Linked DNA regions of Nothobranchius furzeri. The protein of the gene in region 1 interacts with the protein of each later gene in a pairwise test. Links are inferred from orthologs where the notes say so. Each region holds a gene or a part of one and is shown in the gene's direction. Other genes may lie near its edges.

Evidence for each region.
Region 2: the proteins of RNA-binding protein with multiple splicing (region 1) and exosc1 interact in a two-hybrid assay, tested with the Homo sapiens proteins (2 studies listed by BioGRID). The link is inferred for Nothobranchius furzeri from reciprocal best matches to the Homo sapiens genes RBPMS and EXOSC1.
Region 3: the proteins of RNA-binding protein with multiple splicing (region 1) and pin1 interact in binary tests that used the Homo sapiens proteins (3 or more experiments, as listed by UniProt). The two-hybrid records come from large-scale screens. The link is inferred for Nothobranchius furzeri from reciprocal best matches to the Homo sapiens genes RBPMS and PIN1.
Region 4: the proteins of RNA-binding protein with multiple splicing (region 1) and small EDRK-rich factor 2 interact in a two-hybrid assay, tested with the Homo sapiens proteins (2 studies listed by BioGRID and IntAct). The two-hybrid records come from large-scale screens. The link is inferred for Nothobranchius furzeri from reciprocal best matches to the Homo sapiens genes RBPMS and SERF2.
Region 5: the proteins of RNA-binding protein with multiple splicing (region 1) and dtx2 interact in binary tests that used the Homo sapiens proteins (3 or more experiments, as listed by UniProt). The two-hybrid records come from large-scale screens. The link is inferred for Nothobranchius furzeri from reciprocal best matches to the Homo sapiens genes RBPMS and DTX2.
Region 6: the proteins of RNA-binding protein with multiple splicing (region 1) and grap2a interact in a two-hybrid assay, tested with the Homo sapiens proteins (2 studies listed by BioGRID and IntAct). The two-hybrid records come from large-scale screens. The link is inferred for Nothobranchius furzeri from reciprocal best matches to the Homo sapiens genes RBPMS and GRAP2.
Region 7: the proteins of RNA-binding protein with multiple splicing (region 1) and rbm46 interact in a two-hybrid assay, tested with the Homo sapiens proteins (2 studies listed by BioGRID and IntAct). The two-hybrid records come from large-scale screens. The link is inferred for Nothobranchius furzeri from reciprocal best matches to the Homo sapiens genes RBPMS and RBM46.

The regions. Positions count from the first base shown.
Region 1 is NC_091742.1:66,831,331-66,834,830, forward strand, and holds part of RNA-binding protein with multiple splicing, read left to right. Parts: intron 1-1,588; coding exon 1,589-1,716; intron 1,717-3,500.
Region 2 is NC_091746.1:82,291,581-82,295,654, reverse strand, and holds the end of exosc1 (exosome complex component CSL4), read left to right. Parts: intron 1-929; coding exon 930-1,018; intron 1,019-1,089; coding exon 1,090-1,123; intron 1,124-1,210; coding exon 1,211-1,261; intron 1,262-1,485; coding exon 1,486-1,570; intron 1,571-2,941; coding exon 2,942-3,048; 3' UTR 3,049-3,574; downstream 3,575-4,074. Other genes in the region: knop1 (lysine-rich nucleolar protein 1), read right to left, coding at 3,951-4,074. UniProt on the Homo sapiens protein: Non-catalytic component of the RNA exosome complex which has 3'->5' exoribonuclease activity and participates in a multitude of cellular RNA processing and degradation events.
Region 3 is NC_091744.1:9,163,095-9,166,594, forward strand, and holds part of pin1 (peptidyl-prolyl cis-trans isomerase NIMA-interacting 1), read left to right. Parts: intron 1-1,545; coding exon 1,546-1,628; intron 1,629-2,756; coding exon 2,757-2,865; intron 2,866-2,946; coding exon 2,947-3,057; intron 3,058-3,500. UniProt on the Homo sapiens protein: Peptidyl-prolyl cis/trans isomerase (PPIase) that binds to and isomerizes specific phosphorylated Ser/Thr-Pro (pSer/Thr-Pro) motifs.
Region 4 is NC_091749.1:75,953,531-75,956,952, forward strand, and holds small EDRK-rich factor 2, read left to right. Parts: upstream 1-1,468; 5' UTR 1,469-1,619; coding exon 1,620-1,626; intron 1,627-2,203; coding exon 2,204-2,312; intron 2,313-2,513; coding exon 2,514-2,589; 3' UTR 2,590-2,922; downstream 2,923-3,422. Other genes in the region: uncharacterized protein, read left to right, coding at 1-29, 114-298. UniProt on the Homo sapiens protein: Positive regulator of amyloid protein aggregation and proteotoxicity. Induces conformational changes in amyloid proteins, such as HTT, driving them into compact formations preceding the formation of aggregates.
Region 5 is NC_091750.1:69,048,823-69,052,789, forward strand, and holds the start of dtx2 (probable E3 ubiquitin-protein ligase DTX2), read left to right. Parts: upstream 1-1,167; 5' UTR 1,168-1,390; coding exon 1,391-1,703; intron 1,704-2,249; coding exon 2,250-2,838; intron 2,839-3,967. UniProt on the Homo sapiens protein: Regulator of Notch signaling, a signaling pathway involved in cell-cell communications that regulates a broad spectrum of cell-fate determinations.
Region 6 is NC_091745.1:28,876,855-28,880,354, forward strand, and holds part of grap2a (GRB2-related adapter protein 2a), read left to right. Parts: intron 1-1,885; 5' UTR 1,886-1,940; coding exon 1,941-2,018; intron 2,019-2,087; coding exon 2,088-2,179; intron 2,180-2,348; coding exon 2,349-2,468; intron 2,469-3,500. UniProt on the Homo sapiens protein: Interacts with SLP-76 to regulate NF-AT activation. Binds to tyrosine-phosphorylated shc.
Region 7 is NC_091742.1:95,090,686-95,094,724, reverse strand, and holds the start of rbm46 (probable RNA-binding protein 46), read left to right. Parts: upstream 1-1,239; 5' UTR 1,240-1,329; coding exon 1,330-1,348; intron 1,349-3,570; coding exon 3,571-3,738; intron 3,739-3,819; coding exon 3,820-4,000; intron 4,001-4,039. Other genes in the region: lratb.2 (lecithin retinol acyltransferase b, tandem duplicate 2), read left to right, coding at 445-600. UniProt on the Homo sapiens protein: Essential for male and female fertility, playing a crucial role in regulating germ cell development by ensuring the proper progression of meiosis prophase I.

The DNA.
Region 1 (3,500 bases):
TAGCTGCTGCTGCTAGCCTGTAAAGCTTTCAGTTAATGCGTTGAAGGTAAGCAAATTAGAGTCACAAAGATGTTTTTTCCAACAAAGATTGAAGAAATTTGGGAAATTACAAGTCAGACTGAAGTAAGCTTTTAATTTGACTCAATAGCCATCCAAATACTAGCTTGGCAAGCTGTACTATATTTGTAAATGTATAGTATGGCCATGACCCATATGCAGCTCAGTCATGGGGCAGAAACTACTGTTTTCTTTCAAACTGTCTGCATGCAATTGGACAGCGCTAGGACCAATCAGAGCAACAAACAACATGATGGATTCATAGCAGCATAAATCAGACAACGAGGCCGTCCGCCATACACCGTAGAAGAAGAAGAAATATATTTCTGCTCATGTCTCAAAAAGGAACCCAAGTCTAAATCATACAAAGTTGATGCCAAAGCCATTTCAAATGAGCACCGTTGCTGGGCAGTGGTCATCTAAGCTGTAGAGTGTTGTGATTGGCCGAATCTACACTACACCAAGCCAATGGTAGGCTTGCTGAAGCTACAATGGAGCGTGGCCAAACCAACCTGCAGAGCAAACGTTTTTGTTGTCGCTACAGTTTGTCTAGAGCGCTAGGCTATCCAACCACAGCAGTTGCAAGCCACCAAGTTATTGCTAGCATCATTAGCTAACTCTAGTTTAAAAATATTTTAATGGTCTAACAAGTTATTGATCAGTATCCCCATCTAGGTAAGTTGCAATACTGCTATGTAACCATGACAACCATCTCAGCTGGGTGTAACTGGAGGTGCAAACGCACCGGTCACAGCACCTAGCTTAATTTTGGAAAGCAAAAGATTAAAATGAACACTTTAAGCACATTTCTAACAATAATTATTGTAAGGTCTTTTATTCATCCTATGAGCTACAGACTCTAAAGTAGACCAGCGGTTAAATTCAGGGCATACATTTTACAACAAATTTAAGATAGTCAAAACATAGCAACATATTTATGTTTTGGTGATATTAAATAGCTTATCTTATTGTATCATACACACATTATGCATGGATATCATAACAATATACTAAACATTCCTACTTCTTTATATTTTGTTAACAATAATTACAAAAAATAGTTTATTTTTCTTTGATATTTATCTCTGGAAAATACAAGGTCACACAGCTTTTCCTAACTGGGTTTACTGGAGGGTAGCTCTCCCTGCACTACTGGTGTGTGTGGGGACATGGGCTTACAGGAAACTGGTTTGGGCTTCAGAGCAGTACTCTATTGGGAAAGGCAGGATGTTTTAGCTTCTTCAGCTAAATGTTTTTACTCATCTTTATCATGACTTTAATGCTTTTATCGTAAAAAGACAATGAGGGAAACATGAGCAGGAATCTTTACAGGCTTGCTGTCAGCTGATCAGACATTTTTGGGCTTTGGTTTAAAGAATCACGATAAGAGGATTCAACTTCAGATACTTAATAGTCCCTCCCAGTGCGCACCTCCACAATCACCACCATCACTGCCACCTCCACCCTGCCTCTCTATCCACCCACCCATTCACTTGCCACTCTCCTCACTCCACTCCTCTTCTTTCCACAGATGAGCTCACAGTGCCTGCTCTATATCCCAGCAGCCCAGATGTGTGGGCGTCATACCCGCTGTACCCGGCAGAGCTGTCGCCAGCCCTTCCACCCGCTTTCACCTACCCCTCCTCGCTCCACGCTCAGGTAACCAACACCACCTGTTCCCCATTACCAGCCGTCGCTGCTCCTTCACCACCACCCAGTCAGCCCTCTGATCCCGCTCCATTATTTTTGGTTCTTATCTACACAGAGTAGCAAAGCTTTGTTTTTATTTTCGCCTACGTTATGTTGTAGGTGTCACTTCCCTTGCTGTTTTTCTGCGATCAGTAGAGGATGCCAGAAAGCCAGGTGGCAGCACGGCTTAGCTCCCTCAGGAGAAAGGAACAGCCAGGATATCGGAGAAGCCGGGTACCCTCCCTGTTGGGCTGTCTCCGGGAGGATGGAACAACAGATTATCAGATCTCTGATTGTCGGTCCGTCACTTTTAAAGGGATGGGCATGTTACTGAAACTCAGCAAACCTCTTCTGCAGCGGCGACCTAGCAGATCTTTGACCATGGTGTAACCAGCGAAGCGCGGAAGCCTCCGCTAGCTAGCCTCGGTCAACTTACCTTGCTCATGTTTCGTTACCCAGCCAGCCTCAACAACACGTTATAGTTCAACCCATCTTTGAGCAAACAGTGCTATGCGCTAGCTCTGATGCTCACGCTACCTGTCAATCAAATGTAATTATTTATAATTTCAAGCGTTTAATTACACCTAAAATGGAAGAGTGACAAAAAAATTCACCCATGAGTGTAAACTGGATCTATTAAACCTAAAATGGGTTTATGAACCAGGCGGTAAACATGTTTATTTCTGCTGTGAAGTTGGCATTTTTAACATGGGAGTCAATGAGGATTTCTCTGTTTTTGTTCCAGCACCTACCAGATGAGGGTTGAACTGCAATATTTGTCACTTCCGCGTTGACTTCATGTATTTGAAAAAATGACTGCCCCTTGAGATAAAAAAGCCTTTTAGAGCCCTAACAAGGAACAATTTTAAGATTTTTAGAAGAAATTAAACAGTACTTTTAAAACGTAATGTAAACCCAATTCTAAAAAACTAACTTGTTGTAAATGTTTTTTTAATTCAATTCATAAAATAAAATAGTAATCCAACTAAATCTAATAGTTACTTATTCACACCTCATAATCTAGAAACACAGCTACAGATTCAATTCAGTAATTTATATAGCGCCATCAAGGCACTTTGCAAAGCAAACATTCCAATTGAACATAATCAGCAGTGGCGGCTGAATTTTATTTTGGGTGTGGCACAGAAATGCCATCTGTTAGATGCGATATCCACATATCACCACTAGGGGATGCCAGTTTACCATTCTTATGATAGATTCCATGTTTTCTACCTCAGCAATGACAATAAAAAGGAAGGCTGAAAAGTAGCTAAATACACATATTGAGAAAAACACACAGTAGCAACAATAAGACATGATCCTGTCCTCAGAAGCAGCCATTTAAATTAAAGCCCAGTTTCTCCTCTTTGCAACAATATAAGCACCATCACTCTACCTGCAACAGTCCCGGAACTCAGCAGCAAAACAAACTAAGCTAATCTCATGAAGTTAAAAGCGTAAATTCTGTCTCACGTTTGCTGATTTTTGGCCATAATAATCTGTGGTATAGTAAAAAAAAACTACTTGATTCTGTAATCCAATGTCCCAACATCACACAGAGCAGGTGAATGTGCTTTTTTTTTACCCGCTGGAAAGATTTTATAACTCTCTGATGCCTCATTCCATCATTTTCTGGTTCCTCATAATAACAAAACTCCACGAGGTGTACTCAGCTGCTCTACAAGGACGGTGAACTGTGGAGAATTTCCGGTTCTGTCCTGATCTGAGCTGAGACTCTGCCCTGCCGGTCTTCT
Region 2 (4,074 bases), on another chromosome or scaffold:
TTTTCGCTCCGAACCGTTCTTTGAACGTTGTTTCAGCTGTCATCAAGGATATAAACGTTACAGATACAAAGGACATCACTGGCGCTTTAGCTCACCTATTAAGATGTTGGACTCTCGTGCAGAAGACCCGGGTTCGATTCTGGATGTAAACATAGTTTAATTAGTTTCTTTTTTACATTAATGGTATATTTTTTACAGTAAGATACCCAAATTTTTATTTGAGACTCGCCGAACGGCATTGAATTCACAGATAAAAAAGATGTGGGTTCAACTTTCATTTTGGAACAATTTTTCAAGCAAGGGAAGGGAATGATCTGAGCATGCAGGAGGACTGACCCATCATAAACCTTTGTCGGCTGTGCTGAAGAGAAAGGTACAGAACCACATTATTTAATTAATTAGCTGCGTGTTCTCCTATCCTCTGTCCTCCGGGCCACACACACACACACACACACACACAAGGGACTGCCTCAGCTGTTATTTTCGTTAAGGAGTGTGCACGTACAGCATGCACGCCTCGTGCACGAGCCTACTATTGAAGCTGCCGTTACGCTTTTGGCCTGAGGGGGGCGATCGCGAGCATAAAAAAAGCATCAAACCTCTGTAAAGTCCCTTTAAGGACAGTTATTTTTGTATTATATGTATTTAGGGGGTGTTTTTTTTTACACAAATCAAGAAAAAAAAGTGCCTTTTCAAATAAAATGTATTCATAAATCACCTTAAAAACAAACAAAGTGCAACATAATAAACATCATACAAATGACCAAAAGAAACATTTAAGTTAAGCTCTTTATCATTTTTTACACCAGTTAAACTCAGATGATCATATCTGAAACGTGCACTAAAACTCAAGACGGGGACAGCCAGTGCATTCACAGATGTCAGTACTTTGTGTTCAGGTTTGCCTTTTACTAACTTGTCTTTTAAAGGTGACCAGCACCAACCCCAGGTTTGCCAAAGTCCACATCCTGTATGTGGGTTCCACACCGCTGAAGGACCGCTTCAGAGGGACCATCAGGTAACCTCACTACGTAAATCCAGTTTGATTAACTTTCCTAAACTCTTAGCTCACTCTCTCCGTATCTACAGGAAAGAAGACGTGCGAGCAACAGAGAAGGATAAAGTGAGCTAGAATTCGTACTTTTACTTGGATTGTTTACTTATTTTTGCTCCTTCTGTTTCCTTACTGATGGTTCTGTTTTGTTTACAGGTGGAGATATACAAAAGCTTCAGAACGGGCGACATTGTTTTGGCTAAAGTGGTATCCTTCAACAAGCTCTCCAAGAAAGAAAACCAAACAAATTTAAAAGCTATTTTCAGCTCATAACCCAGTTTCATTGGGACCTGTAAAATTTGCTGAGCTGAATGGGACAAAATGAATGAATGAATCTTAGAAATGACAGCAAACAATGTTCACATGTTACTACTGACTCCGGTGCTTCAGTCTGAACGTTACTGATTACTAATCTTGACCTTTGATGTCAGATTTCTCTCGGTGACATTCAGTCTAACTACTTGTTAACAACAGCTGAGAATGAACTGGGTGTGGTGGTGGCCCACAGCGAGGCAGGTACGTTCCTCACCTCTTTCACTTCATCTTTCCAAACTAAACAGCTGCTCAGATCTGACCAGCTCACTCAGGTTCTGCAGGAACAGCAGGGGGTCCAAAGTGGGAGGAAAAGATTTCTGATTAGAACTTAAGTAACATTATTAACTTCCATAATGACAGCATTACTGATTAATTCTCTAGTGTTATTTTCATCATAGCTAAATATTATTACTCTCAATTTCCGACCAAATGCAAAGATATTATCTATCTGATTTAGTAGCTAATTATTTGCGCTTGAAAACATTTCTTATCGTATTTTCAAGGTTTGAAAAGTGCTTAAAATTGGCCAAAAATACTTTAAGCTTCTTAAAAATGTAGTTGAATTCATTTTGTAAATCATCAACTAATAATTATCTATTTTTAAGAACTATTTTATTCAAAGATATTTCTTTATCTTGTGTCCTATGTTATATAATAATAGAGTTAAATAAAATATAACAATAATAAAGAAAAAAAATTTGGCCCTCACCATCTGTAGAGCCGCCACCAGGGGGCAGTAGACATGTATAGGACTAAATATGGCAGGTTTGTAGCAAAGTTCTTCACTGCACTTCTAAATGTACATATGTGATCTTATGGTAATTTTTTCGAAAAAAAAATAAAATAAAATAAAAAAATTACTCTTGAATGTTTAGATTTTTTTCTAACAATTCTTTTAAAGTAATTGTTCATTGTTTTTTGTTCACATACATGTTTTGATGTGTAGGCCATTAAAAGCTTCAGCAGAACTTGTAGCATTAACATTCATTCATTCAAGCTGCCTTTAAATAAATAAAATAGATTTCTAAAAGTAAAGTACTGGTTTCATGTGTGAAATGGTTTCAGCTTGAACACATAGCTGGAAAGCCTCAAAAATTCTCAACAGGTCTAAATTGGGCCATGGTGGCAAAAGGGTTAAGTGCTCGCCCCGTAATCGCAGGTTCGAGCCCCACTCAGTCTGTCGTTGTGTCCTTGGGCAAGACACCTAACCCCCCTTGCCTGCTGGTGGTGGTCAGAGGGACCGGTGGCGCCAGTGCTCGGCAGCCTCGCCTCTGTCAGTGCGCCCCAGGGCAGCTGTGGCTACATCGTAGCGCATCCCCACCAGCGTGTGAATGGGTGAATGACTGATTGTGTTGTAAAGCGCATTGGGGGGTTCCAGGACTCTAGAAGGCACTATATCAAATACAGGCCATTTACCAAATTTGCATTTGGAAAAAGTGTAAGAGCCTTTTAATATTGCTGACATGAAAACAGGTGTTTTCCGTCGTATTTTCCCTACTTTCTTTTCTTGTAAATAACTTCCCATTTTTCTGCATGTTTCTAACATTTTTACCACATTTTCCCCTGAACCAGGAGCCCAGATGATTCCCATCAGCTGGTGCGAGATGCAGTGTCCGTTGACTCACGCCAAAGAGTTTCGTAAAGTGGCTCGAGTCCAGCCTGAGTATTTGGAAGCGTGACAGCCTGGACAGTCTTCACTTGGTACACGCAACTTCCATCTTCCTTCAAGCAGCTCCTGCTCCAGCTTTTGTTTTTCTGTGCATCATGTGATTCACGGGCCACTTCTGGTTTAAGTGTTTCAAACAGCTGCACATTTTGTCATCCTTTCATTGTGCTTTTCTGACTGGTAAACAATAGCAGTTAGTTTTTTACCAGCAGACCCAAGAACACAGAAGTTAAACATGATTTTTATTTTTGGAAAGGGCCAGTAACGGTAGCTGGAAGAGCTCTACGCTTTATGGTTCGTCACAAATCGTGCTGGTGTTTTGCTGTCTTGGGCTTAAAGCTGATGAAGACATTTGTTCACTGTTGGAAAGCCCAGCGCTAAACCAAATGTTTGATGCAGCTACAGCGTAGAAAATAATGAAACGTTAAGTTACCTTCCTGTATATAACTGAGTCAACCGTACATAAGCCTTGCCTTTTACGAAAATGTACTTTGCTGTTTAACTTTCAAAAGTACAATAAATTAAAATGACTGATTCTACTTTGTCTGCAGTTCCTGCTTTGTGCACCTAACTATTCAATTGTTTTCTACAATCCTTCAAATTAAACATTTTGTAACTTACTGAACATCATAATTCATGTGTCACATTTAGAATTAAATGGCAAACTTTGGTTTTGTAGATTTATTTTTCAAAACATCAAAATGTATCAAAGCCATTAAAACTAAAATATTCACACTAACAGAGGCGTTGCTTTGAATTGTTTTACATAATCCGGTTTTGACACTGATGGTTTCATCTACATTTTGTACAACTCAGCCAACATTCGATCACCTCTAAAGTGAAACTAACGAGACTGAACTCATTTACAACGCTGATATAAAAAAAAAAGGTTTATCCAAACATCCACCTTCCTGATCAGTCATCAAAGCGAATTGATCGACTTGCATTGACATCAATGAAGAACTTTTTATTGGGTGGGGCGTTAAACCCAAGCCCCGCCCCCTTTTTACTGAAGTCCATTCTGCGTGAGTGGGCTCGC
Region 3 (3,500 bases), on another chromosome or scaffold:
TCATTTTTAAAAAGTGTTGAAACTAGCTGAAAATAGTGAAATCACAATGGCATTTTAGATCATTTTGAGCAATTTATGTATGTTTTTAATTCTGGCAAAGGCACAAGTCTCCTGCATAGATAGTAAACGTTCATGTCAATAATAGAAACAAAAAAATGTTCAAATGTGAGAAAGAAGCTGTTGTTTTCCCACTCGTTTACTTATTTATTTGTTTATTTTGGCATCCTCTGTCTTAATCTGGATTTACAGCTGGATCTCAAAGGTTCAGTCAGCATGCAGAAAATAGAAATGTACAATATAGTTAAAGGAAGAAAGAAGGAACAATATTTTATTCAGCACCTCTCAAGATAAAAATAAGAAGGCTCTTCATTTGGACAAAAATGTTTTTTTTAAATATCGTAAAATATGATCACCTCAAGGTTGGACTACTCCAATGCAATTCTGTTTGGCATTTCAAAAGCCGCATTATCTCGCCTTCAGCTGATACAAAATGCGACAGCAAGATTTCTGACCAATACTGGCCGTCGGCAGCACATCACTCCCATTTTAGCAAGACTTCACTGGCTTCCTGTGCACTACCGTATACGTTTTAAAATTTTATTGTTTGTTTTTAAGGCACTGAATGGCTTAGCACCACCCTACATATCCGAGTTACTCACTCCTTATGTGCCAGGCAGGACTCTCCGTTCAGGTGACCTACACCTATTAAAGATTCCCCGTCAACGCTGCAAAACCCGTGGTGAACGAGCTTTTTCTGTCTGCGCTCCAAAACTCTGGAATGATCTCCCGCTGCATATCAGACTCTCCTCCTCCATTGGGGTTTTTAAGTCTCACTTAAAGACTTACTTTTATTCTCTTGCTTTTACTACCTAGCTATTTTATCGATGGTTTATTTACACTGTTCTTTTACTGATTTTATTGACTTCTCATTGTTGGTTCTTTGTGTTTTGCTCTAGTTGTTTTATTCTTTTATATTATTCTTTTAACCTTATATGTTTTTACCCCTGTACAGCACTTTGGTCAGCTCACATGCTGTTTTTAAATGTGCTTTATCAAATAAATGGAATGGAATGGAATGGAATGATCAAAGTAAAAGTTGCGATTAAAAATGTGGAGGAAAGGGAACAAGAAACCGAATAAAAAAAAATAGATAGTTAGTGGATCCCAGGGGAAATGCAGTATGGCTGCAAGAGCAGAATGGAGAAGGAAGTGATGAAAAAGAGAAGAAACAAAATAAAATTTTATGCACAGATTAAAACTTTGCTTATTTTTATATTTTCTCTGTGGTCTTGATGTCAAGTTGTTGTTTTTGTTGTTGTTAGCCTCAAGGGCAACATGCCGATTATCACTTGTAAGTCGCTTTGGACAAAAGCGTCTGCTAAATACATAAACATAAAGTATTTTGCATTTTTCTCTTTACAAAATTGTTTATTAATGGTTTAAGTGAGCAATAACTATTCATTTTTGTCTTTTCTTGTAACCTTTGTAATAAAAATATAGATGCACGTTGAAATTTAAACATTTATGGGGTTTTTTCTCTTGCAGGCAAGGTTTACTACTTTAATCACATCACCAATGCCAGCCAGTGGGAACGTCCAGTGGGAGACGGCCGTGGAGAGCCAGATAAGGTGTTGCAATAACAACAACAATAAACTTTAATTACACAAGTTGGATTTTTTTTCTACTATTTAACAGGAAATGTGACATTTAAAATAAACTTGGCAAAAACAAAACATAAGGAAATTTGTTTTCAGTTGAATACTTCCAAGTTTGTGTTGCTGGTTTAAAGTACCCATCAAAGAGACTGATATGGAGGATCTGTTTTATTCAACAGTTTAGAAAATGCTGAAGTATGTTTTCTGTGACTGAATATGAAATAATCCTGATTAGTTGAATCAGTTTGGCTGCACAATGAGTACGTTTACATGCAGCCAATATCCGGGTTATGATCGGGTTAAGGTCGGCATTCGGGTTTCTGAGTTGTTCAGAATAACCCGTTTACAAGCACGAGTTACCCCTAACTTGCATAACCCGATGTAAATGCGGACGTTGGGGCAGCGTCAGGACGTGTGGACTACGTCCAGATGCAATATGCATCATTTCCGGTTCTTCTTGTTCTGGTATCCGTGAAAACAACAAAATTTTTCCCAGTTCGGAAGAGATAGCGACCGTGTTTGTTTGCGCTTTAGTTTCCTCGTCACTCAAAGTGTGGTGCTGTGCCACGACTCGCCATGTTGCTCCCAACTTGTTTACTTCTGGTGTTCTGGCGCATACAAGACGTCTCGCTACTCAAAAGACCAAGATTCCTTGCGAACAGAGCATGCGCAGAACACACGCTTTGATGGGGATATCCCGGTATGCATTTACACGACCAAACATTCGGGTTAGAAAAGGGTTACCCCAGGTGTAGTAACCGGGTTTTTAAAAACCCGGTTATGAGCATATCCGGGTTTCTGGTGGTGTTTACAAGGACCTGCGGAACCGGGTTATTGTGAATATTCGGGTTTTAAAAGGGTTACTGGCTGCATGTAAACGCACTGAATAACTGACTTTGACAAGACAGGCTGTTTATGGAAAAATGATGCATAAACTTTTCAGTCATCTTCTATAACTGCTTCTTTCAAAATGCTTTTGATTTCATGTGTTCAGTGCTTAATGCTTAGTATGAAAAATAAAATGGATCCTTAATGGGTCAGGTGATTGATGATTAGCTCTTTCGATGAAAGTTCTCGGCCATTTTTGTGTTTTTCTTACAGGTCCGCTGCTCTCACCTCCTGGTGAAACATAATCAGTCGCGTCGTCCATCTTCTTGGCGGGAACAAAATATTACACGAACTAAAGATGAGGCCTTGGAGTTCATTCAGAGTAAGTTAGACCAAGCAGAAGAGGAACGGAGGTGTCACTCTGCAGAAGTCTGATCGTTTCATGTCCTTTTTTCCTGCTCAGAGTACATAGAACAGATCAAGTCTGGACATGAATCGTTTGAGTCCTTAGCTTCACAGTTCAGCGACTGCAGCTCAGCCAAGAACGGTGGTGATCTCGGACTGTTTGGCAGAGGTATTAAAACATCACGATCTGGGTCGGACTATTCAGTTTAGTTCTCTGTTTAGATTTGTAGCCATTCGGATCAGTTGGACTTTGTTCCCAGGATAAATGTTTGTGTAGATTTTTATTATTTTTTTAAACATCGAGTGTGTGTGAGAGCAAGGGACAGGTTCAACACTTAACTTGGTTATTTACTAAAACCAACACCTTCTCCCGGTGTTATAGTTTTGCTTTTAACTGTAATACCCCAAAAAGTTTTCCTCTAATAAGTCTGAAGTAACAATAAAATCAAAGTGAAGATTTTTCTGAAAGTCTTAATATAACTGTCTGTAGATGAAAGAAACTGGTTTATAGAGACCAAGATGTTTTGGAAGTCTTATTTGTTTCAGATTGTAAACTTAAAATAATCAGAAAACACAGCTTTTTGTGTGGAAAAATAAAAACTCATTTATAAC
Region 4 (3,422 bases), on another chromosome or scaffold:
GGACTGCAGAACACACCCACTCGGTACAAGTAAGTCGTTTTTGGCAGGTAAACTAATTGAACCAAACAGTGATAACTTGTGATATCAGTCCTTGTCTGTGCTCCGCTAAATAGGCACCCAAGAAGAAGCTGAAGCAACCACTCCCCCAGCACCACAACAATCTGGAGCAGAAAAAGAAGCATCACAATGTCAGTTGGATGTTGAGCATTTTGAGCCTAGTTTTAGATCCCTGTGTGATTACCTTATGGACAAGATGAAAAAGGATGAATCCTTCAAAGCCCCAATGACATCCGTCTGATCAGTCTTTACAAAAACACACAGACAGCAGTCTGATTTCAGCACTGTACGTTCGGGAGGATGAGGAGTGCTGCTGCATGTAAGATCAAACCGCAGCCATGAAAGGGTCTGCAGTGAGCGCACAGATCGGTGTGCAGCCTGCAGCTGTTGCTCGCCGTAAAACTTCACTGGGGGGCAGACGGTCACTCATCACTGGTCGACCTCCAAAGAGAGCTTGGAGAGAACACAGTTATGGGAAGGAAAAAGAAGGGAGTGGTGCACTGCCCAGAAGACTGGCACCACACTCCCTAGCCCAGTGTGTCTCTGCTGGTGTGTCCAACACTGTAAAAAAGTAATAGGCACGCCCTCAAATGTTCATCTAACCTTTCTCTGTTGTTTGCTGGTGACATAGCTGGCAGTTCAATATACTTATTCACACACACGCACACACACAGGTGTTCTGTACTTGTTCAATAACATCTGTGATGTAATCGGCATGGCGTATTTTCATGCTCATGCCTTTTGATAACAATTTGGAAATACGGGCTGAGGCTGTTAAGCAAGCAGGATGAAAGTGAGGACACGTCTTTCATGTGTTTAAATCTGCATCTTTAATTGAAATTAGTTCAAAGCTGATTATGATTTAAACCCTAACACCTTTTCAGCAGTTTTCATTATTCTAGAAGAGAAACAGACCTGCTGCACACGGCTGGGTAAAATAGGGCCGTTTTATTATATTTCTTACATTTCTCCTATGCACCCTGCTGTAATAAGATAACATCAGTGCTTTAGAGCCATAGACATAAAGTAAGTCCCACAGTGTGATAAATGCAATAAGATTTATAAGTTCACTTCTTACGTTTCTCAGTTTTTCAATAAAAGAAACAAAAAAAACTTTTGCAAAAGAGGGCAGAATGGCGCTAAGTTCTTATTTTCTTAAAAAAACAAAATAAAATCCCCAAAATATGTGTTCTGTTGGTGGCAAGAGGACAGTCTGCACTTAGCAAGGGAAGACGGTTTGCTGCTTCATTAAGTAGCCAATCGTAGTAGAGTCCATCTAGCCAATCAGTGGCGAGAAAGGCGGGACCTTCCTTGGACATCCTAGAATTCCAAAAGACGCACCCGGTACGTCACTTTTTACAAGGACCGAGCGTAACAGACGTGCCTGAGCGTGCGCACGCGCAGTTGGTGTGTTTGGGCGGAATGTTCTAGTTTCTGACTAGTTACTTTTTTCTGTCGGCGCAACCAGAGCAGGAAAAGCGACTGGGGAGACGTGCTGGGAGCCAGTGGCCCTTTGGCTGAGCTTATCTGGAATTTGACCGAAAGACACGTCGGTTGCTAAAATGACAAGTGTGTAACGACATCTTTATTTGGTCTTAAAGTGTTTAGATGATCGGCGCATGATCACGTTAACGTTTATATATGTTGCTGGGTCAGCTTGCTGTTCCAGCAAATAGACGGGGTTCATTGGAGTATTTACTGTTAAATGACAGTATCATCGCTAATAAATAAGATTTTAAACGTCATCCACTCATGAAGTGTTCGGTGTTTTAAGTTAAAGTGTATGTGTGTGCTTTGGACGACTTATGTAAGACGACTTCGAATCGGTGGGTCAAAGGGTTGTTTGGATGTTGGTATTAGCCCTGTAGCTTGCAGCAAGAACACAGCGGAAGAATAATCGAGTAGAAAAAGCTACAGATAATAAAATTTTTGTTTGAAGTGTTTAAAATTCTTTTGTTTTGTATTTGACTCCGTGATCGTGTCCATGCAAACTCGGCTGCCTGGATGCGGCTAAATGCTGGCGTTGGGCTGCTCTTCGGCGGCTCTGCCACGTCGGCTGCTCTCTGCTCTCGAGTTAGATTCATTACAGCCGCTTTAGAGCATCTTTACAACTGAATCCGCATTGTGTTTATTTCATGTTGTGCAGGAGGAAACCAACGTGAGCTTGCACGCCAGAAAAGTGCCAAAAAGCAAACGGAACAGACTAAAGGAAAGCGTAACGAGGACGGGCTTTCTGCAGCTGCACGGAAACAGAGGTAAACGACATTGAACGGAGGTCCACTATAATATTTGCTTATTGAGTCCTGTGGTCTAATTTACTGCCATAATGGTGTTTGTCGTATAGCTTTTTATATACAACTCCACTTATGTTCATAGTCATGCAGCATGAGTGTTTTTAAAACACCGTTTGTGTTCTGTCAAAGTAATTATTTTAATGTTTTGTTTTCCCACCAAAGGGATGCTGAAATAATGCAACAAAAGCAGAAAAAAGCAGACGAATCAGGCGGGAAAAGCAGCACAAAGTCGAAGTGAACGACACCAGAGATGAATCTGAGAACTCATACCTTCAGCTTTCTTCCTAATATTTATAACAATGAATTTCCCATTTTTGTCTCAACTCAAGTATCCAGGATTCAACATTCTTCCAAGTGGAAAATTACAACGTATTTGGATTTGTTAATTTTACATAGGGAAATTAAGACTATGGTTTAAGGCTTATTCCACTCTGGTGCTGCATGCAGACGAGCATCGGTGGTGTAAGCAGGTTAAAGCTGAACAAGTCTTGACAAACATGTAACATTTGTGTATTTTTGTACAAACGTGTTTCCCTCGCTGGTTTTGAATAAACTGTATCTTTTTAGTTCATGTTCTGAGTAATTCTTAATGTCTGTGGTGGACGTGTTTATTGGGGGGCGTTATGCCCGCTTCACACTGGAGGCATCAGCAGAGTGCAGTGGTTTACTCGTGACTTGAGTCAGTACACACTGGGAGAATTTCTGCCGCAGAGCAGCTTCTCTGCCGTGCTCCTCGCTGGACTTCACACACTTCACAAAATCCCTCGAGTCTTCAAAGATCACCCAATTTTATATTTACATCCCAGCAAATAATAGCCTGGCTGTTTTTGGTCAAATCAAAACTGGGTGAGTGTGTCGTTCCCCAGGTTTCAGTGCAGTAAGTCACAGGTGTCAAACTTAGACCCTCAAGATCAAACATATATTAACACTGGCCTGCTGGCCCATGTTGCCGGAAAGACCACAAATCCCATAGTGCTTTGTGGCATTAGTGAGTCAGCCTTGGACAAACTGGAAACCATAGATATGTATATAAACACACATGATTATGCTAAAAACACTCAGCACCAAGTT
Region 5 (3,967 bases), on another chromosome or scaffold:
CGCTTTGACAGGCTTGCAGAGGCTGATGGAGACACGCCCCAAATTTTAACTGTCCATTGAAAGAGACGGAGAGCGCAAGCTTGTGATTGGTCAGGAGGCTGCTTCTTGTTTTTATTGGTCAACAGCACCGTCTTTGCCTCTTCAAAAGGTCAAAAGATAGCGGCAAAAACAGAACAGGTTGAAAAACGCATCGAAGAAAGTCTGAAAATATGAACTTTTATTCACCTGTGACTGAAGGAGAGCAAAGATATGCAGCAAGCGTTTTATTCGTGGACAGAAAAGATGATAAACGTGGGTTTAGAGGTACTGATCGCATAAAGAGGTGAAGATCAATGAGGGACAAATCTGTCCGTGTCAAAAAGTCTCTGGAATACATTAAAACAATGTAAACACAATACCATCGTGGACCGGCTACGTGACTGTAATGGTAGCAGGATCCCTCAGAATAGCACTACGCTCTCGGTTATCTTGGCGGGAAATTGTTTTGCAACACTCCCTAGCTGATGGAGAAATTTGAAAGCAAAATGTCTCTGTCAATGCGAGTATGTCTCTCCATCGCAGAGCTGAAGTATAAATTAGGCTTGAGGTGTTGAAAAGACAAACGCACAGATTGGTTTTGCTTTCTTTCTACAAACGGACACTAGGGGGTGCTAAAAGCAAGCCTAAACTGCCCAATCTCCCTTTAAAAACGTATTGGATCCAGTCACTAGGGGGCGCTTGTTTTGCTTTTGTTTCAACTTCTGTGTTGCATTCAAATGCCTCTGTTTTTACAAATCATTCAAAGTTTACTAGTATGAATAAAGCGTCAATTAATTAAATAGTAAAGCAAAAATGCTAACATTAAAATATATATTTGATCTAACTTGGGCTGGATTTTCAAAGATGCACAAGTTTACTAGTTTGCTTTAAATGTTTTGCTTGAGTTTGCTTTAAAGGTTAAAATAAAGTTATTAATCTTTAACGAAATTAATTTTCACGAAATTTTCATCCAGCTGGTGCAGAAAAATCACAATCTGCTGGAATAAATGAATTAATGTGTAAAAGGAGATCGGGTGAATGAGGAAGCTGTTTCCCATAGACCAGCGTTTCCGAGGCACGTCTGCTGAGTACTGCTATTCCCGACGGGCCTTGAAGGCAGCGGTCCAGACTGGAAGGCTCCATGGTGATGTTGTCACCACTCGGCCGCCTTTGGTCTTTCTGAACGCAACAGCTTTGTCAACATGAACCCGAATGTTTGTCTCGGTCGTGTTGGGTTCGAGCCTCGCCTCGGAACTTCCTTGTAGGCGCGTGCACACTTTCGGAATGGAGTTTTTAACGAGCCTAGCTAGCTAGTCGCTGCGTCTTCGTCGTAGCCACAATCAGCTAACCAGTTGTGTTGTTAGCGAATAACATGGCGATTGTGTCTGGTTCCTGCGCCCGGGTGAACGGCTCCAGAAACGGGCCCTCGCTGCCGGTTTTGCCGTCCGGTTCCGTTGGACCATCCCAGCCCATGATAGCGGTGTGGGAATGGCAGGACGACCAGGGCTATTGGCGGCCTTACAGCGGCCAAGTCAGCGCCTACATCGAGCGTTGTGTGTCCCGGCGCGGGCCCAGAGGAGGCGGAGGAGCCGGCTCGACGAGCATCTGCCTCGGACAGTCAGACCCCAGTCTGTCGCCCTACCTCATTGACATACCGAGCCTGAAGCAGTTCCGGCAGGACACAGGTGAGCACGACCTCTTCCTTTAATAACCGCAATAATAAACGCGTTTCCTCGTATCGTCACAGTGACCGGCCTAGCTGGTTTCGCTTTACATCAGCTGGAGGAAATACGAGTCATGTTTCTGGGCTTCATTCTCAGTGAAAACATCAGGATCGTTCTCATTACTCGTCCTAGAGCTGGACAGCTTAATCATGTTGGTTTGAATGATTAAACCGTGCAAATACTTAGTTAAATGACTGAGCTGTTAGAGCGTCATGTGGGAGGATGTTGAATAACTCAGGACTTTTACCTGACATGGCTTTGAAACGTGTGTTTTATACAAAAACCACACAAGAAAGGGGCTTAAAAACATTAAAAATATGAAAATAGATGTAAAGTCATCTTCGAGTACAAACGTTGAAGTATAAAATGGGTGAATAATGTGGGAAATACATGAAAAGAACAGTTACTGTTGATGAAGGTGCCAGTCTTGGGTCTTGACCAGGTAATGTTGGTTTAAGATGCTTTACTCACAAATACACACTAAAGGGTTTGTTGTTTACTTTCCAGGGACGACCCGGTCAGTGCGGCGCTCCCTGTTCGCCCAGTCTTCAGGCCTCGGCAGCGGTGTCTACTGGGAATGGGTCAACGATGAAGGAGGTTGGACTCCGTACGAGACCCGGACCTCCATCCTTCTAGAGCACAGCTACCAGGCCCGCCAGGGCACGGCCGACCTGGGCCCGCATGGGTACAATTACATAGTGGATCTCACCTCTCTGGCCCAGGTGAACAAATCCACAGGCTTCAGGCGCCAGGTGCGGCGACAGTGCAACCTCCCCTACCCGTTGGCCTCCTCCGGCCCCCCTGCCATCCCCTCAGCCCCTGCCTGCTCCTGCCAGCAGTGTTTGAGCCACAGCAGCACCGGACCCATTCCCAGCCGCTCACGCCATTCCTTTTCCTCGGGGAGTCTGAACCGACCCAGCCTCCAGGGGATGGGGTGGGTCGCTGCCGCTCACCCGACTTCTGTTTACTCGCCGTATCCCAGGAGACCCCTCTCTGTGGGGGGGATGTCCTGGGGCAGCCCCTGGCCCCCACTTGCCTCTGCTAGTCACATACCTGCGCCACACCTGGGCAGCTCCACCAGCGTTAATGGTTTAAGGTGAGTGTGACACATTAAACCACAGCGGGGGACTGAAGGATGTCCTCCAGCCCCCCCGCCCTCTCTGTCCTTCCTGTCTGTCTCCTCACTGACCCATCCTGTCAAACAGGAGGTCCGGAGCTCTAACACATCAGTGGTGTGTTTGTTTTGGCTCACTTCCCCTCATTTCCATCTTTGTCATCTGATCTTCCTTCTTCTCATTCCTAATGGCACAGAGAGCAGCTCCCAAAGTCAAACGACTAGCTTAAGCGGTGCAATGGATATGTAGCTCACTCTCAGTCCTGGGGTCTCAGTTTCCTCCACACTGCATATTAATCAGGGATGTGTATTTTTGAAATTCTGGCGATACGATACGATCACCATACAGGGGAGACGATACGATATATCACGATATATTGCGATACATTCAGTCAGACGTTACAAGCAATTTTTTTTTTTACAGAATTTATTGTAAGAATGTTCAATAAACAGTCCAAACTGATATATAACATGTTTAACATGAGGTATCTGAACCATGATGGAGGGATTTACATTTCAATGGTGGAAACAAAACCCGTTGCACACTGCTGCCAACTAGCGGGTGGCGATTGAATTGCACAAAACGAAAAGAAAATACACAAATGTTTGCATGTAAATTCTTTCAAGAATTAGATACACGGCTTTTGAATTTCAATGTAATATTTACAGGGGAAAAAATCACGATATATTGTCATATCGATATTTCCGATACACGGCTTTTGAATATCGATATAATATTGCTGGAAAAAAATATCACGATATATTGCCATATCGATATTTTCTTGCATCCCTAATGTTAATAATCCTGAGTTAATTCTAATTTTCTACATTTTTGAATGTTATTCATGTTTAATGTTCCACCCTTGCACGACGCGTTTTTGTACTAATTATAGTAGATGTCTGCTTATTCTTGCATTAACTTTTTGATGATCTGTGAAGTAATAGTTTTGTAAAACCCAAAAAGCTTCGTCACGCCGGATTTGCCGACTTTCTGTTTTTAAAATATTTCTGATCAGTAAACAAATCAGCATAACACCAACATAACCAGAGTAGATAAAAAAAATGCTGTTTTTAAATAATTATTTCATTTATGAAGGAGAAAAATTGTCAA
Region 6 (3,500 bases), on another chromosome or scaffold:
GTAAAAGTATTTTAAAATGAATCCTAACATCAACGGGCAGCCAGTGAAGCGCATCCAGGACAGGAGTTATGTGGTCAAACTTGCGCCTGCCCTCTAAAAATCTGGCAGCAGCATTCTGCACCATTTGCAACCTGGCTATTGAGCCCTTGCTCACACCGAATAGAACAGAGTTGCAGTAGTCCAATCGCACCGTAATAAAAGCATGGACCATCGTCTCAAGATCATGACGTGACAGAAATGGTTTGAGCTTTGCCAGCCGACGAAGGTGGAAAAAGGAGGAGGAGATCACTCCATTGATGTGGGTATCAAAACTAAGGGCGCTATCTAGTTTAACACCAAGATTAGTCACCGATGTAGACAGCTGTCCCTTAAATGACCCACAGTCAGTTAGGGAAGAGTCACAATGTATGCTTGGAGCAAACAATATAGCCTCTGTTTTCTGATCATTTAGGCTCAGAAAATTTTCAGTCATCCAGGTCTTGATCTCCCTCAAACAGTTTGTAAGAATAGAAATAGAGAGACCACTTGACGTGTTCAGAGGCAGGTACAGCTGACAATCATCAGCATAAAGATGGAATTGAACTCCAAGCTCACGACAGATGTCACCTAAGGGTAGAATGTAAATAGAAAACAACAGAGGGCCCAATATCGAGCCCTGTGGTACCCCCCAAGGTAGATCAGAGTACTCTGAGGAATACCTTCCCATCCTAACACACATTTTTCTATTTGTCAGGTATGATCTAAACCATTCCAGGGCTAATCCTGAAATCCCGACATAATGATGAAGACGGTGAAGCAGCACTTCATGGTCTATCGTGTCAAAGGCTGCCGTGAGGTCCAGCAGAAGTAGCAACACAGAATTACCGCTATCAGTCGCAAGATAGATGTCATTGAGTACTCTAACCAGAGCAGTCTCCGTGCTGTGCAGAGCTCTGAAGCCAGACTGGAAAGTCTCAAAAATGGCATTCTCGTCCATAAAAACCAAGAGTTGGTGATAAACACATTTCTCTAGCACCTTACTCAAGAGCTCTGGTTGTAGCTAGGTTGCTACCTCCGTTAGCTTAGCTCCCACCTCCGCGTTAGCTTTGGGTTAGTTTCAGGTTAGCTTGTAGCTAGTTCGACCGGGTGTCGTCAGTTGATCCCAGCCTTACAGCCCCACCCTCAGCTCCACCTCTCTTCCCTTTTGTGGAATTGTCTGGGCTTGACAGAACCTGTGACACGGTCAAAATGGCGGTGGTGGCCACCTCCCATTTCTCTTCAAAAATGTGTTATTGAGCTTGTGGAAACCCATTGTCCATATATGTATATGTCGTTGGTACACACACCGGTGCTCACATGGTGCTCTCATAAGTATGGACTTGGGCACGTTCAACACATGTCTTAAGGCTGTCGTTGCCACTAAATGCACTATGATATATTATTTTGTGATTGTTCAGTAAAACAATGATGATTTTATATTTCTTCATTAGGTTGATGCAGTGATGATGGCATGCTCCTGTTGTATTGTTGTGTGTCCCTTTCCTGCAGGTCTAGAAGCAGACTATTGTTCATCATTGATTGTTCTTTTTCGTGGATTGACAGCACACTGAAGTGCTGTGAACAAGAGCTCGGAGTGTCTGTCATAGGTCATAGGTCAGATAGCTTGTTTTGGAGACTTATGTGGCAGTGTTGAGAAAAAGCAGCATTAAAACACTCATTTTTACACTGTGAAGATACTAAAACCATAAACATATCAAGATAAATGCTTCCGTTAGAAACAAAGTGTTTAGTCAATAAGCGGATTTTATTATCAGATTATAACATTATGAAACATTTTCCTCTCAGATGGAGCCACGGACAGAGTGTAAACTTCCTTAATCTTCCTTCTTTTTCTTTGTCTCTGCAGAAACCCACTTGTCGTGGACCGCTGTCTCCTATTTTTCTAACCAACGCTGTTCCTAATGGAGTCAAGAGGAAAGTATGATTTTACTGCCACAGCAGACGATGAGCTGAGCTTTAGGAAGGGTGACATCCTGAAGGTGAGTCTGAATCATCAGGTGTCAGGATTTATGAGCCGATGTGGGTCCTGAATCTGTGTTCCCGCTCAGATCCTTAGTCTGGAGGAAGACTGGTGTAAAGCTGAGATAAGTGGGCAGGAAGGATACATACCCAAGAACTACATCGATCTGCAGCATCCGGGGTGAGATAGACGCACACACACACACACACACACACACACACACACACACACACACACACACACACACACACACACACACACACACACACACACACACACACACACACACACACACACACACACACATTAACTCAGTCCCCAACACAACAACCCACTGCTCGTTGTTCAGGTGGTTTCGGGAGAACATCAGTCGCGTTGCTGCAGAGGACCAGCTGAGGAACAAACCCCTGGGAGACTTCTTGATCCGAGGATCTCAGAGTTCTCCTGGAGAGTTCTCCATCTCCGTCAAGTAGGTCCACTGAGTCTCTGCTCTGATGTGAGCTCAACTTTAGCAACAGGAATCCAGAATCTCCCTGACTGTTGGAGACAGAACTGGGACAAAACCTGAAGCTGGAATCAGACTTCCTATGAAGCTTTTATAAGTTCATCTGGGTCACAAGATGTGAGCGAGAACATATTTCAATGGTGCTAATTTTTTTTATCACTATTTAGTCATGAAGTTTATTTATTAGTTCTCAATTTTATCTCGATTCTTCCTTAACTTGTCTCGTGCTTTTGTGCTTTCTGATTTAGAAGCTTGACTGGGTCAGGTTTCGGATGGGTTTTAGGCTGAGTCCAGATACCTGCACTGATTCTGAGAATATTCCGAGTAGTTCAAACATTTCCAACATTCCTGAACCTCACCGTTAGCGATGTTTACGAGGAAGTTTCCAAAGTGTCTCAAAATGCTGTGGGGTATCTCCAGTGAGTCTCGGGGCGTCGCTCCCTCGTGTTACTGAGGTTTTGCAAATACTGAGAAAAAGACAATTATTGCTTGAAATTAATCAGAGTTGTTGCAGACGTCTGAATCATGTCTCGGTTTAGTTTCTGAGGTAAAGTGTGAGACTTTGGCAGGAGTTGTGGACAAATGGTGAAGAAAAAGAAGCGTAAATGAAGCTCTCTGTAACTGACCTACAGCAGAAACATCTGTCTCAGAGGTTAAATTTCAAGTGCCTGAAGTACCTATTTAATCTGGTCTGGCTTCCGCTGGTAAATAACCAAATAATCTGGATTATGATCGGGACTAAAATACATTTCCTGTTAGAAAGACGAACTTCCTTAGATCATATTTTAGTTTCTGTGTGAAAGTGATTTAATTTCTGTTGGCGTGTTTCTTCTGTAAAACCTGTTCCTGCTCTGGTTTCATCATCAGAAATAATTCATCTTTTACACACATTAGTTTCCCAAAACTCTGCAAGACTTGTTATTAAACTAAATCTAAACAAGACAAATGAAACTGATCAGAGACAAAGTTCTGTCCTCTGAGTAGACGCTTCGGTTG
Region 7 (4,039 bases), about 28 Mb from region 1:
CAGCCTGTGACGACTGGATTAGTCATGGAATTATTCAGGTCCAGACTCTGAAAACCATCTTTATACTTGTTTATTTATCAGATTGATCAGATCTACTTTAACAGAAACGGAGTTAATAAAAGAATCCAGCGAGCCAGTGCAGTATTCACAGGAAATGTCTCCACCTGGCGGTGAGATGGGAGAACTGCACGTCTGGTTATCGTCTCCGTGAGTTAAATGTTGTTTATTTATTCCTGCAGGAAAACGTTGATGTTTAGGCTGAGTTTCGGAGCCTAGTGTGAGCTTGTGTTCATGCAGCTGCGACCTTAGATAACTAGGTGTAGGTGAGGATTAAAGAGGACCGTGGTGTCGGTGAGCTCGTGAACCTGGACCCAAAATAAAGACTTAATCAGCTAAACTTGTACGCCAACATCTGACCCGGATGCTTCTGATTGTCTCCACTAGTTCTGTAAGACCATGAGGAAGCTGCTGCTGAGTCGACGCGTTGCCAAGGTAACGGCGATGCTCTCAATGTGCCTGCTGGTCTACCTGAGAGCTGTGAACACCTGGTCGGTCCTGCCAGCGTTCCTGCTGCCGTTCCTCCTCTGGATGGCCTCGTAAAAGGATGATTTCTGTCATATCAACAGATTTAAACCGGATCCAGTCCGGGCTTTTATGGTTCATGCCTGCAGCTCATAACATGACAGTTTTATGTTGTTTAACCAGTTTTTAAAATGCGATACTAGATAAATACTCTGATCTGATATGGATTCATTCAGTGAGTTTGTCAGAAAATGAATTAAACTTTCTCACATTGACCGTGATGGATTGCCTCTTGTTCTGCATCAATACTCCTTTTGTTTTTCTGTCATATTGTTTCGACATATTCACATATATGTCGTACATTTTGATTGATTTTATTCTTTTTATTGCATTTTCATTATTTTAACTATATTCCATTACTTTTTGGTTTATGTTTTATTACATTTAATGTAAAATTCAACTGTGATTTGTTTTAGCATAAAGTGACACATATTCATTAATTTTGGTTTAATTTACATTAATTGTGTGAAAACTAGTTTATTTTTTCATGTTTTGATAAAATAAAAATAAAATAAAATAAAATAAAATAAAATAAAATAAAATAAAATAAAATAAAATAAAATAAAATTCGAACACGGGCCGCCTGTTACAAACTTCGTCGCTGATTGGTGGAGGGTCCCGTCACTCCCCGCCCCTGGCTCGGACTGTTGCTAGGTAACGATTCTCCGGCTCTTCCCGGCGGAGTTTTAGCTGAACTCTGTGACCGAACTGTTGCTTCTGGAGATCCTGAAGCCGTTTAGAGGAAAAATGCTCCAACTCCGAGGCGGTGAGAGTCCAGTTCAGCTGTTATAACGTGTTTTAAAAACAAACGCGGTGGTTTGGTGAAGTTTGGGAGGATTTTAGCGGTTAAAAGGAAACTTTGATGCAGATTAATCTAGAGCCGCTAGCATGCTAGCTAACGTAACTCTAGCTGGTTTATCATTTAAAAAGTTAAATTGTTCATTCGTTGCTGATGCAGTTAGTTTACAGGATTAGATTTTAGTGATTTTTCTCGCGGGAATTATTATGGGATGGAAAAGGTTGCGCTATTAGCATTAGCTCACTAAGCTAACTCCTTACGTTCATTTCCTGAACTTGAAAATGAAGGAAAAAAATTATTTTTATGTCAAAACTGGTAGCGTTTATGACATGTTAATGACATTTCAAACAGAAACTTGTGTTTTCTACATGTAGAATTAAATGGGTCATAAACATTTCTGTTTCCATAGATTTAGCTGATTATTAGTGAAATAAAAACATGTTCCAAACCAGATTTACAGTGAATGTTTCCGGGAGCTCATCAGCATCAAACAAATAACACTTATTCATCCAAATAATAAATAAGAATAAACTCCACCTACTTAGTGATGAACTCATTAATGAGTTACTGTTTTTATTTTAGGTCCAGTGGCTTTTATCAATTCAATTCAAGTTTATTTATATAGCGCCAAATCACGACAAGAGTCGTCTCAAGGCACTTCACATAATAAACATTCCAATTCAGGTCAGTTCATTAAGCCAATCAGAAATAATGTTTCCTATATAAGGAACCCAGCAAATTGCATCAAGTCACTGACTAGTGTCAGTGACTATACAACAATCCTCATATTAAGCAAGCATGCAGCGACAGTGGAGAGGAAAACTCCCTTTTAACAGGAAGAAACCTCCAGAGAATCCTGGTTCAGTATAAGCAGCCATCCTCCACGACTCACACACACACACACACACACACACACACACACACACGCACGCACGCACGCACGCACGCACGCACGCACACACACACATTATCAGACATACATCCTCTAAATGATCCTTTATAATGAATGAGTTAGTTAGTTGTTTGTTTGTTTGTTTGTTTGTTAGTTGTTTGTTTGTTTGTTAGTTAGTTGTTGTTAGTTAGTTAGTTGTTGTTTGTTTGTTAGTTAGTTGTTGTTTGTTAGTTAGTTAGTTAGTTGTTTGTTTGTTAGTTAGTTAGTTGTTTGTTTGTTAGTTAGTTGTTGTTAGTTAGTTAGTTAGTTAGTTGTTGTTTGTTAGTTAGTTAGTTGTTGTTTGTTAGTTAGTTAGTTAGTTAGTTGTTGTTTGTTAGTTAGTTAGTTGTTGTTTGTTAGTTAGTTAGTTAGTTAGTTAGTTGTTTGTTAGTTAGTTGTTAGTTAGTTAGTTAGTTAGTTAGTTGTTGTTTGTTAGTTAGTTAGTTGTTGTTTGTTAGTTAGTTAGTTAGTTAGTTGTTTGTTAGTTAGTTGTTTGTTTGTTAGTTAGTTAGTTAGTTGTTTGTTTGTTAGTTAGTTAGTTGTTTGTTTGTTAGTTAGTTAGTTAGTTGTTTGTTAGTTGTTGTTTGTTAGTTAGTTAGTTGTTGTTTGTTAGTTAGTTAGTTAGTTAGTTGTTTGTTAGTTAGTTGTTAGTTAGTTAGTTAGTTGTTGTTTGTTAGTTAGTTAGTTGTTGTTTGTTAGTTAGTTAGTTAGTTAGTTGTTTGTTAGTTAGTTGTTTGTTAGTTAGTTGTTAGTTAGTTAGTTGTTTGTTTGTTAGTTAGTTAGTTAGTTAGTTAGTTGTTTGTTTGTTTGTTAGTTGTTGTTAGTTAGTTAGTTGTTGTTGTTAGTTGTTAGTTAGTTAGTTAGTTGTTAGTTAGTTAGTTTTTTGTTTGTTAGTTAGTTAGTTAGTTGTTTGTTTGTTTGTTAGTTGTTGTTAGTTAGTTAGTTGTTGTTGTTAGTTAGTTGTTAGTTAGTTAGTTAGATGGTTAGTTAGTTAGTTAGTTGTTGTTGTTAGTTAGTTGTTAGTTAGTTAGATGGTTAGTTAGTTAGTTAGTTAGTTAGTTGTTAGTTAGTTAGTTAGTTAGATGGTAATAAACCAGAGCACAGACATAAACTCCACCCAACATTGATGTTCTTTAACCTAAACGGTCTCTCAGATTGTCCTCATGTTCCTGTTGTCTTAACTCGTAAGGTGATGGTTCATGGTCTGGTGGGCCATGAGGAGGTTCTGGGTCCTGATGCGTCGGTGTTTGTCCTCTAGACAGTGAGAGATTGTCTGATGAGGACATGGACGGGGACCTGCTGGAGGCCAGAGACAACTTTAAGACGTCGTGTGCGAAGGAGGTGGCACTGCTGGCGCTGATGGAGAAGACGGGCTACAGCATGATCCAGGAGAATGGGCAGAGGAAGTACGGCGGACCTCCTCCAGGTATGCGGGAGAGTCCAGACGGACCATTAGAAGTCGCTCAGGGATCCAGCTGACCCGGTTCTGTGTGTGCGTGTGGTTCAGGCTGGGAGGGCCCGGCACCGCCGCGTGGCTGCGAGGTGTTTGTGGGGAAGATTCCCAGAGACATGTACGAGGACGAGCTGGTTCCTCTGTTTGAGAGGGCCGGAAAGATCTACGAGTTTCGCCTGATGATGGAGTTCAGCGGGGAGAACCGCGGCTACGCCTTCATCATGTTTACCAACAGGTGAGGGACCCTCTAGAGCCTTTGTTAGTCACGTCAGGT